2 linked regions of the Rhinolophus ferrumequinum genome follow. The protein of the gene in region 1 interacts with the protein of each later gene in a biochemical or structural test. Links are inferred from orthologs where the notes say so. Each region holds a gene or a part of one and is shown on either strand. Other genes may lie near its edges. The genes, in order: ATF7IP and MBD1.

The links.
Region 2: the proteins of ATF7IP (region 1) and MBD1 form a complex in vitro, tested with the Homo sapiens proteins (2 studies listed by BioGRID). The link is inferred for Rhinolophus ferrumequinum from reciprocal best matches to the Homo sapiens genes ATF7IP and MBD1.

Annotation. Positions count from the first base shown.
Region 1 is NC_046293.1:28,750,523-28,757,975, forward strand, and holds the start of ATF7IP (activating transcription factor 7-interacting protein 1), read left to right. Parts: upstream 1-3,287; 5' UTR 3,288-3,433; intron 3,434-7,453. UniProt on the Homo sapiens protein: Recruiter that couples transcriptional factors to general transcription apparatus and thereby modulates transcription regulation and chromatin formation. Can both act as an activator or a repressor depending on the context.
Region 2 is NC_046302.1:41,089,000-41,096,452, reverse strand, and holds the start of MBD1 (methyl-CpG-binding domain protein 1), read left to right. Parts: upstream 1-3,349; 5' UTR 3,350-3,544; intron 3,545-4,936; 5' UTR 4,937-4,961; coding exon 4,962-5,071; intron 5,072-7,453. Other genes in the region: CXXC1 (CXXC-type zinc finger protein 1), read left to right, coding at 98-147, 298-394, 711-863, 942-1,088. UniProt on the Homo sapiens protein: Transcriptional repressor that binds CpG islands in promoters where the DNA is methylated at position 5 of cytosine within CpG dinucleotides. Binding is abolished by the presence of 7-mG that is produced by DNA damage by methylmethanesulfonate (MMS).

The sequences.
Region 1 (7,453 bases):
CGAACCGGTGACCTTGGTGTTATGAGCACTGGCGCTCCAACCACTGAGCAAACCGGCAGCCCACCTGCAGCTCAGTTCCGAGTTCTAGCCATTGTTTTCAATCTAGTTGTGGAGGGTGCTGTTCACTGGCCCATGTGGGAATTGAACCGGCAACCTTGTTGTTAAGAGCTCGCACTCTAACCAACTGAACCATACGACCGCCCCAGTATTCTATTTTTCAAAAGTTCTGTTTTCCTTGTTTAATTTCTGCTCAATTGCTACAACTGAAAATCATTTATGTATGTTTATTATTTTAGGTTGTTTTGGGTTTTGGATTTTTTTTTTCTGTCAGAAGTTCTGAGATCTTGTTTTATTCAGGCATTTTTTTCTAGAAGCATATTCAGAAAGTATGTATAAATAAGGCCATAATGGTGAGTAAAATATGGAAATCTTTCAGTTGTTCTGTGCTAGACCAAGCAGTTCCAATCACATACTTCCACTAGAAGTATTGTATCCCTTATATCCCCACCCCTGAATATTCCTCCTACCATTGAGTCCACCTCAGTCCCCAACTAAAGAACCCCTGAACCTCTCCACAATCCTACAACTAGAAGATTAACATCTTACAAAGTAGGGAGTGTTCAAGCCTGCTTCTATTCTAATTGGTCAGTTGGTGCCACAGGGATTGATAATTATTTTGAACACCATCTTACCTAGAAGTTGAAACTATACCTTTTTTCATTCTTCTGTGTCTTTGAGTTTCTGTTTTATCTAACTTGAATTCTCTTTGTTTTGTACTTATTCTGACAACCACTTTCAGTTCTACATTATGAGTCAGGTCAAATATCACCTTTTCTATGAACTTTTGCTGTATACTACGAGGAAGATTTAGGTCCTCCTGTTTTACATTTCTTTTATACTTAGTGTATACCTCCATGACAATACTGATCTCATATTGTTTATCTGTATATATGACTTATTCCCCATTTAGAAGCAGTGTCATTTCCTGTGGGCATCTCCAATGCTTAGAATAGTATGTGAGTACATAATAAATACTATACTTGTTGAATGAAGAAACAATTGAATTGGTTAGGTCAACCATCAGGTAGAATAGCTGAAGAGACTATAAATGTGTGGTTGAGAATATCTGGGGACAGTCAAATACAATAAAATTGTCTAGTTGAAGACATAGGGAGACAAGTCTAGAATATCAGCATATCTAAGAAAATAGATCAATTGTTGAGTTAGTGCTGAATTATTTTTCCCTTTGCCATTAGCCTAGACAGTTGAGAGTGAAGTATTATAAAAATGATTCCTTTTTACTTGCTTATAGAAGATATACAAAGAGAAACCTAATGGATTCTATTATCCCAATCCCATTTCTCTTACTATAGAATGTAACGTTTAATATCAATGTCAATATTTACAATTTACTGAGCATTTATTTTATAATTGAGCACCTATAACTAAATTGTAACATAAATTTGTTATAATTGAGCCTCTATTTGAAATTTATTGAACACCTATGTACAATTTTCTGTGCTAAGGACTTTACAAAGCTTAGCAATTAAGCAATGCAAGTGTTATTTCCTGACTTAAACCTTTTAAGTGATTCCTCTTTGCTCTCACAATAAAGTCCAGCTTTAGGCAAGAAATCTATTAAACCAGTTCTCATCTTAGAGATTACCTTTTAGGAAGGCATTACTGATTCTCCAAATCTGGATTAGATGATATTTTTTTTTTTTTTTTGTAAGACTTTTTTTTTTTTCAATTGGGGAAGGAGTACAGGACTTTATTGGGGAACAGTGTGTACTTCCAGGCCTTTTTTCCAAGTCAAGTTGTTGTCCTTTCAATCTTAGTTGTGGAGGGTTCCTTTCAGCTTCAAGTTGTTGTCTTTTCATTCTTAGTTGTGGAGGGCACAGCTCAGTTCCAGGTCCAGTTGCTGTTGCTAGTTGCAGGGGACGCAGCCCACCATCCCTTGTGGGAGTCGAACAGGCAATCTTGTGGTTGAGAGAATGCGCTCCAACCAACTGAGCCATCCAGGAGCTCAGTGGCAGCTCAGCTCAAGGTGCCGTGTTCAATCTTAGTTGCAGGGGGCGCAGCCCACCATCCCTTGTGGGACTCGAGGAGTTGAACTGGCAACCTTGTGGTTGAGAGCCCACTGGCCCATGTGGGAATCGAAAAGGCAGTCTTCGGAGTTAGGAGCATGGAGCTCTAACAGCCTGAGCCACCGGGCCGGCCCTAGGTGATATTCTTAAAAGCCACCCAGCATCAACTAAGTTAAAAGGCCCAAATTATAACAACCAGTGTCAACCACCCTGCACTAGTTTCTTAACTATTTACAAAACCTGTTTACTTTTCTGTCTTCTCCACTATAGTATAGATTTCTTGAGGACAGGCGTCTAATATAGGTCTGGAACCCAGTGATTGCTAAATACTGAATGAATTGATTAATTTAAGGGAGAAATTACATTTAAAAACAATAACCAAACTTTACGATCTATTTGTCAAGCTTTTCTTGCTTTGCATAACACACTTACTCTTATCCTATCTTTTTGCCTTCCCAGCCGATTTGAACTACAGGTTTTATCACCATTTTAGAGATAAGAAAACTGACTAACACACTTATTCCACGGAACAGGCAAGTAAGCAGAAGTACTTGGGTGTAGGCCCAGATCTCCCAAAGGAGTAGAACCTTCTCCACTACCTCCTGTGGCTTTCATTAAGGGTTGGCTCCCAATATAAAATTGCATATAAGGAATACAACTTCTAGTGGAAGTATGTGATTGGAACTGCTTGGTCTAGCACAGAACAACTGAAAGAAAAGATGTGTTTTCGTCATTCCTTCATTACTTATACTTAGTATACTTAGTGAGTTTTTAATATAAATCAACATACTCCAGCATTTTTGAAAATCTTCCCCTCGGCTCTTTAACTCTCACCTACCTGTTTCCTTCCTTCCTTCTAAGACTCATAGAGGGCGCTCAAAAAGTGCTACTCACTGGTCGAAGGAAGTTCCACTGAAAAACACCTCACACTGCAACTGAAAGGCACAGCGCCACCACCTCAGACTTCCTTCTCTTTTCCACGACAGGAGGCGTGGCCAATTTCCCTCATTCAAATAAAAAAAAAAATAAGCCAGGCGATTTGCATGGGAAACGTCCAGTCCGTGAGCCTATTGGCTGATAGCACAGGGGGCGTGGTCAACATTACGACCACTGAGCCCCGCCTACAGTAATTTGCATAACGGCCCCGCGCGTGCAAGGGAGAAGCGGGTTTGTTTTTGAATCTGCGGCAGCGCGGCGACGGCGGCGCGGCGGCGGCGGCAGCGGCGGCGGCGGCGGCGCGGCGAGTGAAGTGCGCGAGACTGAGGAGGCAGCATTGGGGACGGCTACGGGAAACGGCTCTCTGGGAAGGATATTGGTTCCCCCGTCCTCATCTCGCGACCCGAAAGGTATATGTGCAATCTAGGGGCTGTTAGAACCATATTTTCTTAAATTACTATTGTATTTCTGAAGAGTCAAGACCGCATTATGGCGGCTGCGGGAGTTGTGTTTGCGCCTGCGCGGTTGCGGAGCTGCGGGCGGGCGCTGCATGGGAGCACGTGATCTTGCGGGTCCGGCTCTAGCTGCAGTTGTGCAGCTGGCGGGGCGGTGGCTGCGCAAGCGCAATATTCATTTTCAAGATCTAATGTTCTTGCTGGACGCCATTTGGGTTCTAGATTTAATTTACCTCCTTCTAGAGGGGTTACATTTTGTTACCCTCAAATTCTCACATTTTTCAGGGAAAACGTTTCTTTTATGTTGTACTTCTGTACTGACCTCAAACTGTTTTCTTATATTTCTCCGATTCTCTGAGAAGCTCTGAGAGACTTAATTTTCTGTAAAAGTGATCGTCACTTGTGGTTCTTGATTATAATTTCACTTTTAGTGTGTTGCTGGATTCCAGTTTATATTTAGGGAGATAAAGATCAGCACCTAGTGGTGTTCTCACGGGAAGTGCATTTATTTGAACTGCATATTTGCAATTATATTTTTAACCCTGTTTTACCAGTGCTGTTATGGAATGTTTACAAAAGAGAAACAATTTGAGTTTTGGAAATATAAGGAGGTCTTGTTTAAGAAGTAATCTTAATCTCCTTGGGTGTTTATTTTTTAAAAATGTTTGATCCTAAGTCAAGGAAGTTTCAATTTTAATCAGTTTGTGTTCCTCTTATACATGCATTTAAGTTTTACACTTTTTCAGTCTCTGGTCACTTGTCTATTACTGCTTCAGTTAGATCATTTTTGTTACTCCTTAAAAATTAAGCCATTTTCTTAGCATTTTGTTTGTTATGATATATAAAATATAACACTTGGTACATTTTTCTGATAAAAAACTCTGCAAAGGTCTCCCACCTACACTGAGGCCATGATGAGGAAGTGAACCATCAATAAAAATAAAAACAAATTAGCTGATTAAAAAAAAAAACTGCCCCATATACATACGTATGAGATAAAATTGTTGTGTTTGATCTTGTTTAAAGTTATAAGTGTGTTCCTGTTTTTACTTTCTTAAAGAAGGTAGTTATAAGTAAGTCACTGATTATTTTAGTTTAAAATGGTAGTGTCATTATATGTAAATCTTATATAACACCCCTGGGAGAAGTTTTATACGATTTACTATAATTCTACCATTGTGCAAATTATTTCTTACTGTTCTAAAAACTTGTAAATGGTTTTCATAAACTTCATTTGTGGTTTGTATATGTAACAATTGGTTTTCTGGTTGGTTATATAACTCAAGTTTAATTCAGTCACCTGCCAGATGAAGAAGTGGTTATTGCTTTTTAATCTTGGTTGCTTTAGGGACGTTTTTATTGCCTAAAATAAGTACCATTACTAAGTATTAAGATGTAATTGAAAGGAATACTTGTGGTTGGTGGATTTTTTTAAAAAATGACATTATATACGAATATGAGATAGAATGGAGTGATAGGAAAAAATTCCTCTTTATTCTATTCTGACAATAAAAAATTGTCGTTCATATAATTCCTGGACTTCTGAAGTCTTCTACACAGAACAGTATTTAGAAGGCAGTTGTGTAATCTTCCCTTTTATACACACCCCTCCCCCACCTCCTTTGACATTGTTTCTGGTGTTTTTTAGAGTTGAAAATTTGTTTTTTCTGTATTAGTGAGTATGTGTATACACATAGATATTTAAGTTAAGAAAAGAACTTTGATCTTAGGGCGTGGTAGACTTTGCACTTCCAGAAAAGTGAAATGTTTTGGTATATCTATCTATCTATCTATCTATCTATCTATCTATCTATCTATCTTTTTTTAAATTTAAGTGTGTTTTTCCAGGACCCATCAGCTCCAAGTTAAGTAGTTATTTCAATCTAGTTGTGGGGGGCGCAGCTCATAGTGGCCCATGTGGGGATCGAACTGGCAAACTTATTGTTAACAGCGCCGCGCTCTAACCAGCTGAGCTAACTGGCTGCTCCTGGTTTATATATTTAAGATGATGTTTTTATTTGAATATACAAATGATTGCCTTGTAGATTAATGTTAAGATTATGAGGTACTTGAAAACACTGAAGAACATAATGTACAATGTAAATATGTATTGATAGGTCAATTTTGCTGTCATGTTTGTTAAAAAGGCAAATACAATTCTATAAACTTAAAACTAAGACTGAAGAATTGTCTGAATATCCACTATTTGTTTATTTGTACTTTATCAATAACAAACATGTTTTGAAATTGTGCTTTCATAGTTGTGATGCCACAAAATTTTGACACATATGCAGCATATATAAATATTAAAACTAGGTCACGCTACGCAAGAATGAAAGTGATTGGGGTCATTTAAAATCTTTTTAGTTTTATGAGTTTAAAGCCTCATAGTATTTAGTTTAGAAATAAAAGTTTTGATGGGGCGGCTGGATGGCTCAGTTGGTTAGAGTGCGAGCTCTCAACAACAAGGTTGCTGGTTCAATTTCCACCATGGGATGGGCTTCGTCCCCTGCAACTAAAGATTGAAAACAGCGACTGGACTTGGAACTGAGCTGCGCCCTCCACAATTAGAGTGAAGGACAACAACTTGGAGCTGGTGGGCCCTGGAGAAACACACTGTTCCCCAATATTCCCCAAAAAAATTTAAAAAAAAGAAAAAGAAAAAAAGGTTTAAGTCATAAACCATTAAAATAGTCTTTTTTTCCCTTTAAAGTGTAATTTGAATGCATGATGGATATATTTAAATATTTTTTACTTATTATAGCACATTTGAAACATGTTGAAATTAATTAGCATTTAGAAATAATTGCTCTAAAAGTTTTGGTGATTTATGTGACTTTTCCATGGTTGATTATTGATCAGTAACAATTGATCAGTTTTTTATTTGGATCATAATCTTATTCCTGCTCTTTAGTATTGTATTATAGATATTTTGCCATTTTGTTATTCTTTTAAAATATTTTTAATGATACATTATATTGTGACAATATCCCAGATTATCAGATAGTCTTCAAATATGTTTTTAAATGGCTACATTATGTCTCTATGTAGAATGTTCTGTGACTTACTAAACCTTTCTTTTCTTGTTGACCATTTTGTTTGTTGCCCATTTTTCTATTATAAATGCTACAGTGAACATCTTTGTACATGAGGCATGATCTGCATCTCATAATATTTCTTTGAAATTAGTATTTCAGAGGGCTTTTAAAGTAATTTACAAAATTGATAAAAACTTAGCTTTTTTGAAAAACATTTCCCATACCTCCATCAGTTTGGTGGTTGAAAATAGTATCTCATTAACTTCCTTTTTTTCATACTAACTAGTGAAGTTGAACTTTTTTATGTTTAATACATATATGCAGTTTTCTCATTTTGGGGGAAATTTTTGAGGATTTTTAGTGTATTTTTCTATGGTGGATGTTAATGTTTTTCTTGTTTATTTGTAACAGCTATTTATGGATATCAGCTTTTGGCTTTTCATATTTTTTTTAGTTTATTTTTAAATTGCTCATGGTTTTACATATTCAGAAGTGTTATATTTTTATGTAGGCAAATGCACTGCTTTTTTCACTTGTGATTTCTTCCAGGACTTCTCTGCCTAGAAAATACTACGTGTTGTGAGATGAATTAAATGTTCATCTATTTTATTTTTTTTCTGGATGTTTTAATGATCTTAACAAAAATTACGTTTTAACGTATATGGAGTTATTTTGACATACTCTGTAAAGATGGGTTGCTAGTTTCCATTTTTTCCAAATATCTTGTTTTCTTACACTTTTGTGCTGGTGATCCATCTCTTACTGCTTTGAGTTGCTTCTTTTGATCATAACTTGCTAGGTTTGAGCTATCTGTTCTGTTTCCTTTACTAGGGATAGTTAACTGGGAGTCCATTGCTCTTGGAGTTCCATAGGTAGGCCTAAAGAGTTCCATGGATTCCTTGATGTACACAATTTTATGTGAGTGTGTATATATACA
Region 2 (7,453 bases), on another chromosome or scaffold:
CAGGAGTATCACTGGGTCCGTGGGGGACAGATGTGTTGTCTTGGGAGGGCATGCAGCGCATGTCCACAGTTCCCTCCATTTGTGTTCATCCTTCCAGTATGAGAGCCAGACGTCCTTTGGGTCCATGTACCCCACACGCATTGAAGGGTGAGTGTGGGTACTCTGTAGGGTTAGGGCTGCAAAGTTAAAGCTGGGGTCAGAAGTGGAATGTTGTGGCAGGATATGGGCATGGGCAAGGATAAGTGAGACCTCTTCCTTCTCTCCCCCCACTACGCTCTCTCTTTTTCCAATACCCAGGGCCACACGACTCTTCTGTGATGTCTACAATCCTCAGAGCAAGACATACTGTAAGCGGCTCCAAGTGCTGTGCCCTGAGCACTCACGGGACCCCAAAGTAAGGTTTTCCCTCAACTCCCCCCATTCTGACCCTCCTACCTTCCTCACCGCTCCACCTCCTTTCCTTTTCCCACCTGACCACTTCCATAACTCACACTTTCCCTGCCTCATTACCCTTCATTCATCTTCTTTTGTACTCTCTCATCATCTCCTTTTCCTCCCCTTTTCCCTGCCTCTTCATCCTCTGTTCCTCTCCTTTTCCATTCTTCACTCTCCCTTGAACTCTCCATGCCTTCCCTCCTTGACCACTCCTCATTCTTATTTTCCTTCCTGACTTAGCACCTCTCATTCATCCCCACTCCATCTCCCTGCAGGTGCCAGCTGATGAGGTATGCGGATGCCCCCTTGTACGTGACGTCTTTGAGCTCACAGGTGACTTCTGCCGCCTGCCCAAGCGCCAGTGCAACCGTCATTACTGCTGGGAGAAGTTGCGGCGTGCTGAGGTGGACCTGGAGCGTGTGCGCGTGGTAGGTTTTGATGCCGGATGTGGCCAGGGTGAGGTGGGTCTTCCAGAACTCCTTCTCATGGCTCTTCTCCCCTGGCAGTGGTACAAGCTGGATGAGCTGTTTGAGCAGGAGCGCAATGTACGCACAGCCATGACAAACCGGGCAGGATTACTGGCCTTGATGTTGCACCAAACAATCCAGCATGATCCACTCACTACCGACCTGCGCTCCAGTGCCGACCGCTGAGCCTCACTGGCCCAGACGTCCTCACACCCTGCATTCCAGGCGTGGGAGCTTGCTGGAATCCTCTTGCTGTTTGTAATGGTCCCTGAGTTTTTCCTTGTGCCCGCCCACCATTTGACTGCCCATCAGCCCTTACCAGAGGGTCTCAGAATTTCCTCCTGTCCTTGTCTTTCCCATTTTCTCTCCATTTTTTGTTTCTGGGTGGGACTGTGGAGGCTGCTCACTCTTGCTCAGCCTCCCTGGTTTTGTTAATAAAATTTTGTGAAGAACCAAGAAAGAGAACCACTGATGGTCTCCCAACTTTACCCAGTTGCAACTGCATTCCCAAACCCCTGGGGTAGATGGGCCGTGGCACACCTGTACTCATGAGGGACTGCACTGCAGTGCATGTGTAGGCTGAGTATACAACTGGCACCCACTTGGTGCAGGTTCCCTCCTTGAGCTGTGGGCATACGACCTGCTGAGGGAAGAGCCCAATGGCCCACCATTCACAGCCTCATTTTGAGACAGTCCAGTCAGCACTCGTTCAGTGTGTGGCTAATCGATTTACTACTGCTGTGTGAGTGTTAATATTCTCCAGACCAAAGGTGTACCCGATGATCCCAAGGCCCCCTCTTTCCCCACGAACCCCTCTTTGGGGACATGTATGCAGCAGGAGTCCACTGACTTTGTGCCAGAAGCCTCACCCCACTCAATCTGCTTGGCAGGTCCAGTGGGGCTCACAGCTTGGCCTTTCCAGGATGGACCTGCCCTCATCCGTTGCATGGACCTGGCCTTTTGTTTACCTGTAGTGTGGCACTGCCCCCTTCCCCAGTTCTGGGGAAAGAGCTGGGGCCAGCTCAACATAACTTGTCTCTGCTCTCCTGCAGCTGTTCAGTGGGGAGGAGAGAGCGGGATACAAGTCTTGGGGGAGGTGTTCATAGGGACTGGGGCACCTGCGCGACCTAGGCGAGAGGAGGGCTCCAGCACAAGACCAGGCATCGCCGTGCCTCCCTCCTGGTTACTCCTTGTGGAGACCTAGCGTGAGCTTTTCATGACTATCAAAGTATCAGTCTCACACGTCTGTTCCACCTCCTGCCCCCCACTCTGGTTCAAGCCGTTGTTTCTCAAGTCTAGTTGTGTAGGACACAGCTCCCTGGCCCATGCTGGTGTTATGAGCCTTGCGCTCCCCCGGCTGAGGCAGTCGGTCGCGGGTCGGCGGCTCACGGCAGCTCTCATAGGCTGCCGGCCACGCACGCTGGCTGCACCTGGCAGCACACGGTAGCCCACGGCAACACAGCAGCCCAGGATGAGTCGTCGTTCACAATCTTCGGTATAAAGGGCGCAGCTCACTGGTCCATATGGGAATGAACCAGTCACCTAGGCGTTAGGAGCACGGCGATCCAACCACCTGAGCTATGGGGCTGCCATATGTTTGTTTCTACAATGTTAGACTTTATTAGAATTAAAGCCATGGATCTAGTCGTACCGACTGGGTTTACCACAGGCATCAACCAAGGCTCTGGCCAGAGGATAGCCTCCAATGGTCGAGGTAGAGCAGTTTCACACAAGAGGTTTGCAAGCAATAGGGTTAGGCAAGGTGAACAGTCTTAGGAAAGAAGGAGAGAGTCCGCTGTTCACCGAGAGTCGCTGGAGTGCTTGGGTGTCAGGCTGGGCAGGTGAGGCCGTCAGGAGGCAAGACTGCAAGCGCTCGGTCTGAGATGAGTGCAAATGCGGCTGTCAGTTGAGGCCTGAATGATGAGCCCTCAGAGAGCTCTGTTTTCGTTCTCAAGCCTGGGTGCGGTGCACCCATCTGTAGTCAGATAAAGCCTTCCAGATGGTCACTCTCCACCGTGCGCCTGGATAGGGTGTTCTGGTTATCTGGTTTGGGCATTCACTGGGTATGCCTTTCACGTGCTCTGGCATGACTGTCACTTTGTGACTGACATAACTATCAAAGTCATAAGTAACGCTCTATACAAGACCACTTAGGTAAGGAATTCCACGGGCCAACCCCAACCCTCTACGCCCCCTCAGGTTGGGACCAGAGAGCGCAGGCGCAAATAAGGTGGGCGGAGCGGGGAGAACGCGCTGGCGGACAACGCCAGAAGCGCACGCGCTGCGGAGCTCGGATAGGGACACGAGCCGTAGTTGGACTCAGCGCGCAAGCGCAGCTCGTCCTGGCAAAGGGCGCGCGCAGCTGCGGAACCCAGCACGCAGGCGCAGGATCCTCCCTATTAAGGGCAAGCAGAGGCGGTCATTAGCGCGCAGGCGTCTCGCTGGGAGCGGAACCCGATAGGCGGGCCCCGGATTTCCGGTGTCGGGGGCAACGAACGGCCGCGGCGGCGACAGCTACCGTTTCAGAGGAAGCTGCAGCAGAAGAGGAAGAGGAGCAGAGCCAGGCGGGAGGTACAGGCGGGACCCTCGTCATGGGTCCGCGGACCTAGAGCGGCGGAAGCTACCGGCCCGAAGCCGAGCTGGTGAGACAGTCGTGGGGGTGGAAGTAGAGAGCGCTCAGGCGGAGGATGGTGAAGAATTGAGGCTCAGAACCCTGACGGAGCGGGCCCTCGGGCCGATGAGTGGGAGGAATGGCGGCGTCGGAATATTGAAGTGGAGGAATGGGTAGATTTTAGACGGAGGACGGAGAGAAATGGGGCTCAGAACGCTGACAGTGGAAGTGTCGGGATCCTGGACGAGGACGGAGAGGAGTGGGGGAGGATCCGAGCGCTCAGGGGAGACATCGGGGCCTTTCACGTTAAGGAGAGAAATAGGTGTTCAGACCCCTGAGGGGAAGAAATGAGGTGCCCTCAGGCTGATGACGGAGAGAAATAGGGGCACTGGGATGCTGAAAGGGAGGAACGGGTCTGTTATGGAGGACGAGGAGAAACGGGTCTGAACACTGACAGGATGGCATGGTTCTGGGACAAGAACAGAGGAATGGAGGGTGTAGAATGCTGAGGGGAGAAAGCAGGATCTTTTAGGTTCATGAGAGGAATGGAGGATGAGGACGCTGAAGGGAAGGAGAAGAGAACTTCCCGGCTGCAGAAGAGAGGAATAGAGAGGTTCGGGGGCGAGATGGGGAGGAATTGTGGCTCAGAACACTGAGAGGGGACACAAGGGGGGAGGATTTCAAGCTGAGGAACAGAAGGAATGAGGGGCCATTTAGGTCAGGGTTATGGAGGAGTTGGGGACTCGGGCAGAGGACAGAGGAAACCGATGTAGTAACGCAGAGATAGCAGGATAAAAGGACATCACAGGGAAGGAATGGGAGGGTTAAAAGGCCGAAAGAGAGAAATTAGGGACTCCTGGGTCAAGGAAGGTAGTGAATGGGAATGAGAATCCTGACCGAGTGCCGGGCCCTCAGTCTGAGCAGGAGTGGAATGGGAGCCGCTGGGCCTGAGGATGGGAGGGACGAGGCCTCTCAGGCTGAGGATGGGGAGTATGAAGGTCTTGGGGACAAAGGAGAGGAGTAGAGGGCCAATAGGTGACAGAAAATGTCTCGTGGGCCAAGGACAGCGAGAATGAAGGGAAAGAGTGAGAGCCTCCTAGGTTGTCATTGGGCAGAAATGATGGCATCTCAGGCTGAGAATGGGGAGGAACGGGATCAGGACACTGCGAGTGAGGAATGAGGACCCTTGGGTTGAGGACGGGGCTATCAGGTCACAAGGGTGAGGAGTGTCAAGCTCCTGGGCCTGGGACAGGGAAGAGTTGGGTGGGAATGGGGGTTTTCTCTTCTTTATGTTGGCCAATTGCCTGTGGCAGGTCCCAGGTCTTGGGCAAGTATTAATAGATACCAGTGGTTTGTGTGGCTTGGGGCATAACATGTCACCTCCTAGAGCCTCAGTTTCTCCCGTTGCTCCTCCATGTTGCAGGCCGCTGCTCCTTCCCGTGGTCCCCATGGCTGAGGAGTGGCTGGACTGCCCAGCCCTGGGCCCTGGCTGGAAGCGCCGGGAGGTTTTCCGCAAGTCAGGTGCTACCTGTGGACGCTCAGACACCTATTATCAGAGGTACTGGGTGGGTTGTGGACAGTCAGGAAGGGCTGAGCCTGGTTAGGCAAGGTGAAATTGGGTGTGGTTAAATTTATGGGTGGAGCTAAAATTATGCATATATAGTCAATCCTTATTACTTGCAGATTCTGTATTTGTAAATTTGCCTACTCACTAAAATCTGTTTGTATCCCCAAAGTCATTACTCAGCTGTGTTTTCGTAGTCATTCGTGGACATGCACAGAACAGCAAAAAAAATTTAAGTCGCCTGGTGCACGCACTCCCAGCTTAGGTTGAATGAAGCGTTATTTCAGCACTTGTACTGTATCAAGTCCTTTTCATGGTCTACTTAGTACCAAGCTTTTTGAATTTTTGTGATTTTTATTGCTGATTTTGCTGTTTATGATGGTCCTAAAACTTAGTGCTGCAGTGCTATCTAGTGTCCTAAAGTGCAAGACGTCTGATTTGCCATAAGAAGAAAATACATGTTAAATATGCATCAGCTTCATTCAGGTGTGAGTTGTAGTGCTCTTGGCTGTGAGTTCAGTGTTAATGAATCAAAAAATATGGTACATCTAGAAAAGAAAGAGGACGTTTTTCAATTTGTATGTGAGGCTCCTCCAGAAAGTGCTAAAGTAACATCTGTAGTACGTGATGAAGCTAAGGAAAAGGTGGGAAAGTGGCTAAATTCATAGATCCATGAAATGATGAACAAATACAAAGTGTAGTGGACAGCACTGTGAGTCCTGAAAGCCAAGGACATTGATGGTCATTTCTTACCCAGGGTTAAGAAAATGTTAAACCTATTACTGCTAGTGCGGGCTGTCTCACAGGTTTCAAAAGGTGATAACGTTGTTAAAAATGTGAAATTTTCTTGCAAGGCAGGTTCTGCAAATCAAGAGTGCTGAAGATTTTTTAAAAATACCTGCAAAGTGCTACATGGGAAAAGGGTTGGGTAGAAGAGTAGATTTTCAGTGCTGGCTTGTTTTATAAGGACGTTGGCAAAGAAACCTGTATAATGCAGATGGCCTGCAAAGCTTCTGGCTTTAAATCAGTCAAAGCCATGCAGTTCATTATTTGTAAGAAGAAGATATTAAGTAGGGTGTCCTTTAAACAGAAACACACAAAAAACAAGGTTACATAGGATTAGTTTACAAGAATGTTGTGAGTAGAGGCTTGTAGGAACCTAACCTGTAGTTCCACAAGGAACAGTGGTTCTGTATTCACTAATTCAGCGTAGACTTTATAGAACCAGATGACTTTATAGAACATAACTACGATAAATAATGAAATTCAACTATAAATACACAAACTTACGTGTTTATAAACAGTTTACATTTAAGGACTTACGTTACTTTAAGGTGTACTAGTGAGGGAGGGGATGGGGAAGAAGGTGAAGGGATTAGAAAGAGCAAATTAGTAGACACAATATAGTCACGGGGATATGAAATACAGTATGGGGAATATAATCAACAATGTTGTAAGTATTATGTAAGGTGCCAGATTGGCAGTGGACGTATCAAGGGGATCACTTCATACTGTAAATGCACGATCAATGTGATGTACAAGTAAAGCTAAAGTAGGATAAAACTGTATGTCAACTGTGACTGTATGTGTGTGTGTGTATATATGTGTATATATGTGTGTATATATATATATATATGTGTATATATATATATACATATATATATATTTATGTGAGGTGGAGATAGCATAAGGAAGATAGTCAATGGTGTTATAACAGTTATATAAGATGTCAGAGGTTGCTGGTTCGATCCCGCATGGGCCACTGTAAGCTGCGCCCTCAAAAAAAAAAAAAAAAGATGTCAAAGGAGTAGTAGCTTGGGGCGGGGGCTTATCACTTTGAGAGGAGTGTAAATGTCTATTAAGTTGCTTTGTACACCTGAAACTAATAATAATAAAAAGAAGATATACTAGTGATATACTAATTAAATTTTCTACACTCTTCATGAACCTTTTTTGGGTCTAAGTTGCTGTTTTCCTGGAGGAATATAATAACATTACAAATACAGTTACATTTATATTTAGTTGTACATTTATTCACATATTTACAACTTGTATAAACGTTCAACATTGATAAATGTAAGTGCAATTATCAAGAATTGTAGAGGATCTGAGATTTTTACCCTACTTAGGTTAAGATAACAAGTGTCAGTTTAGTGGATGCTGGTAGGAGATAAGAGATTCCTGGATCAGGGATGAAAGAAAATTTATTACTCATAGCAATAACAGTATCCAGAATGTCATAATTTTTGTGTGGGTTCCCAGAATGCCAATTCCGACAGGGTCACATGAAGAGGGCTAACTAGCACACCTGTACCTGTAACTGGGTTGTATTGTGGGAAAGGAACCCTGAGCTTAAGGAATCCAATCTATTATAAT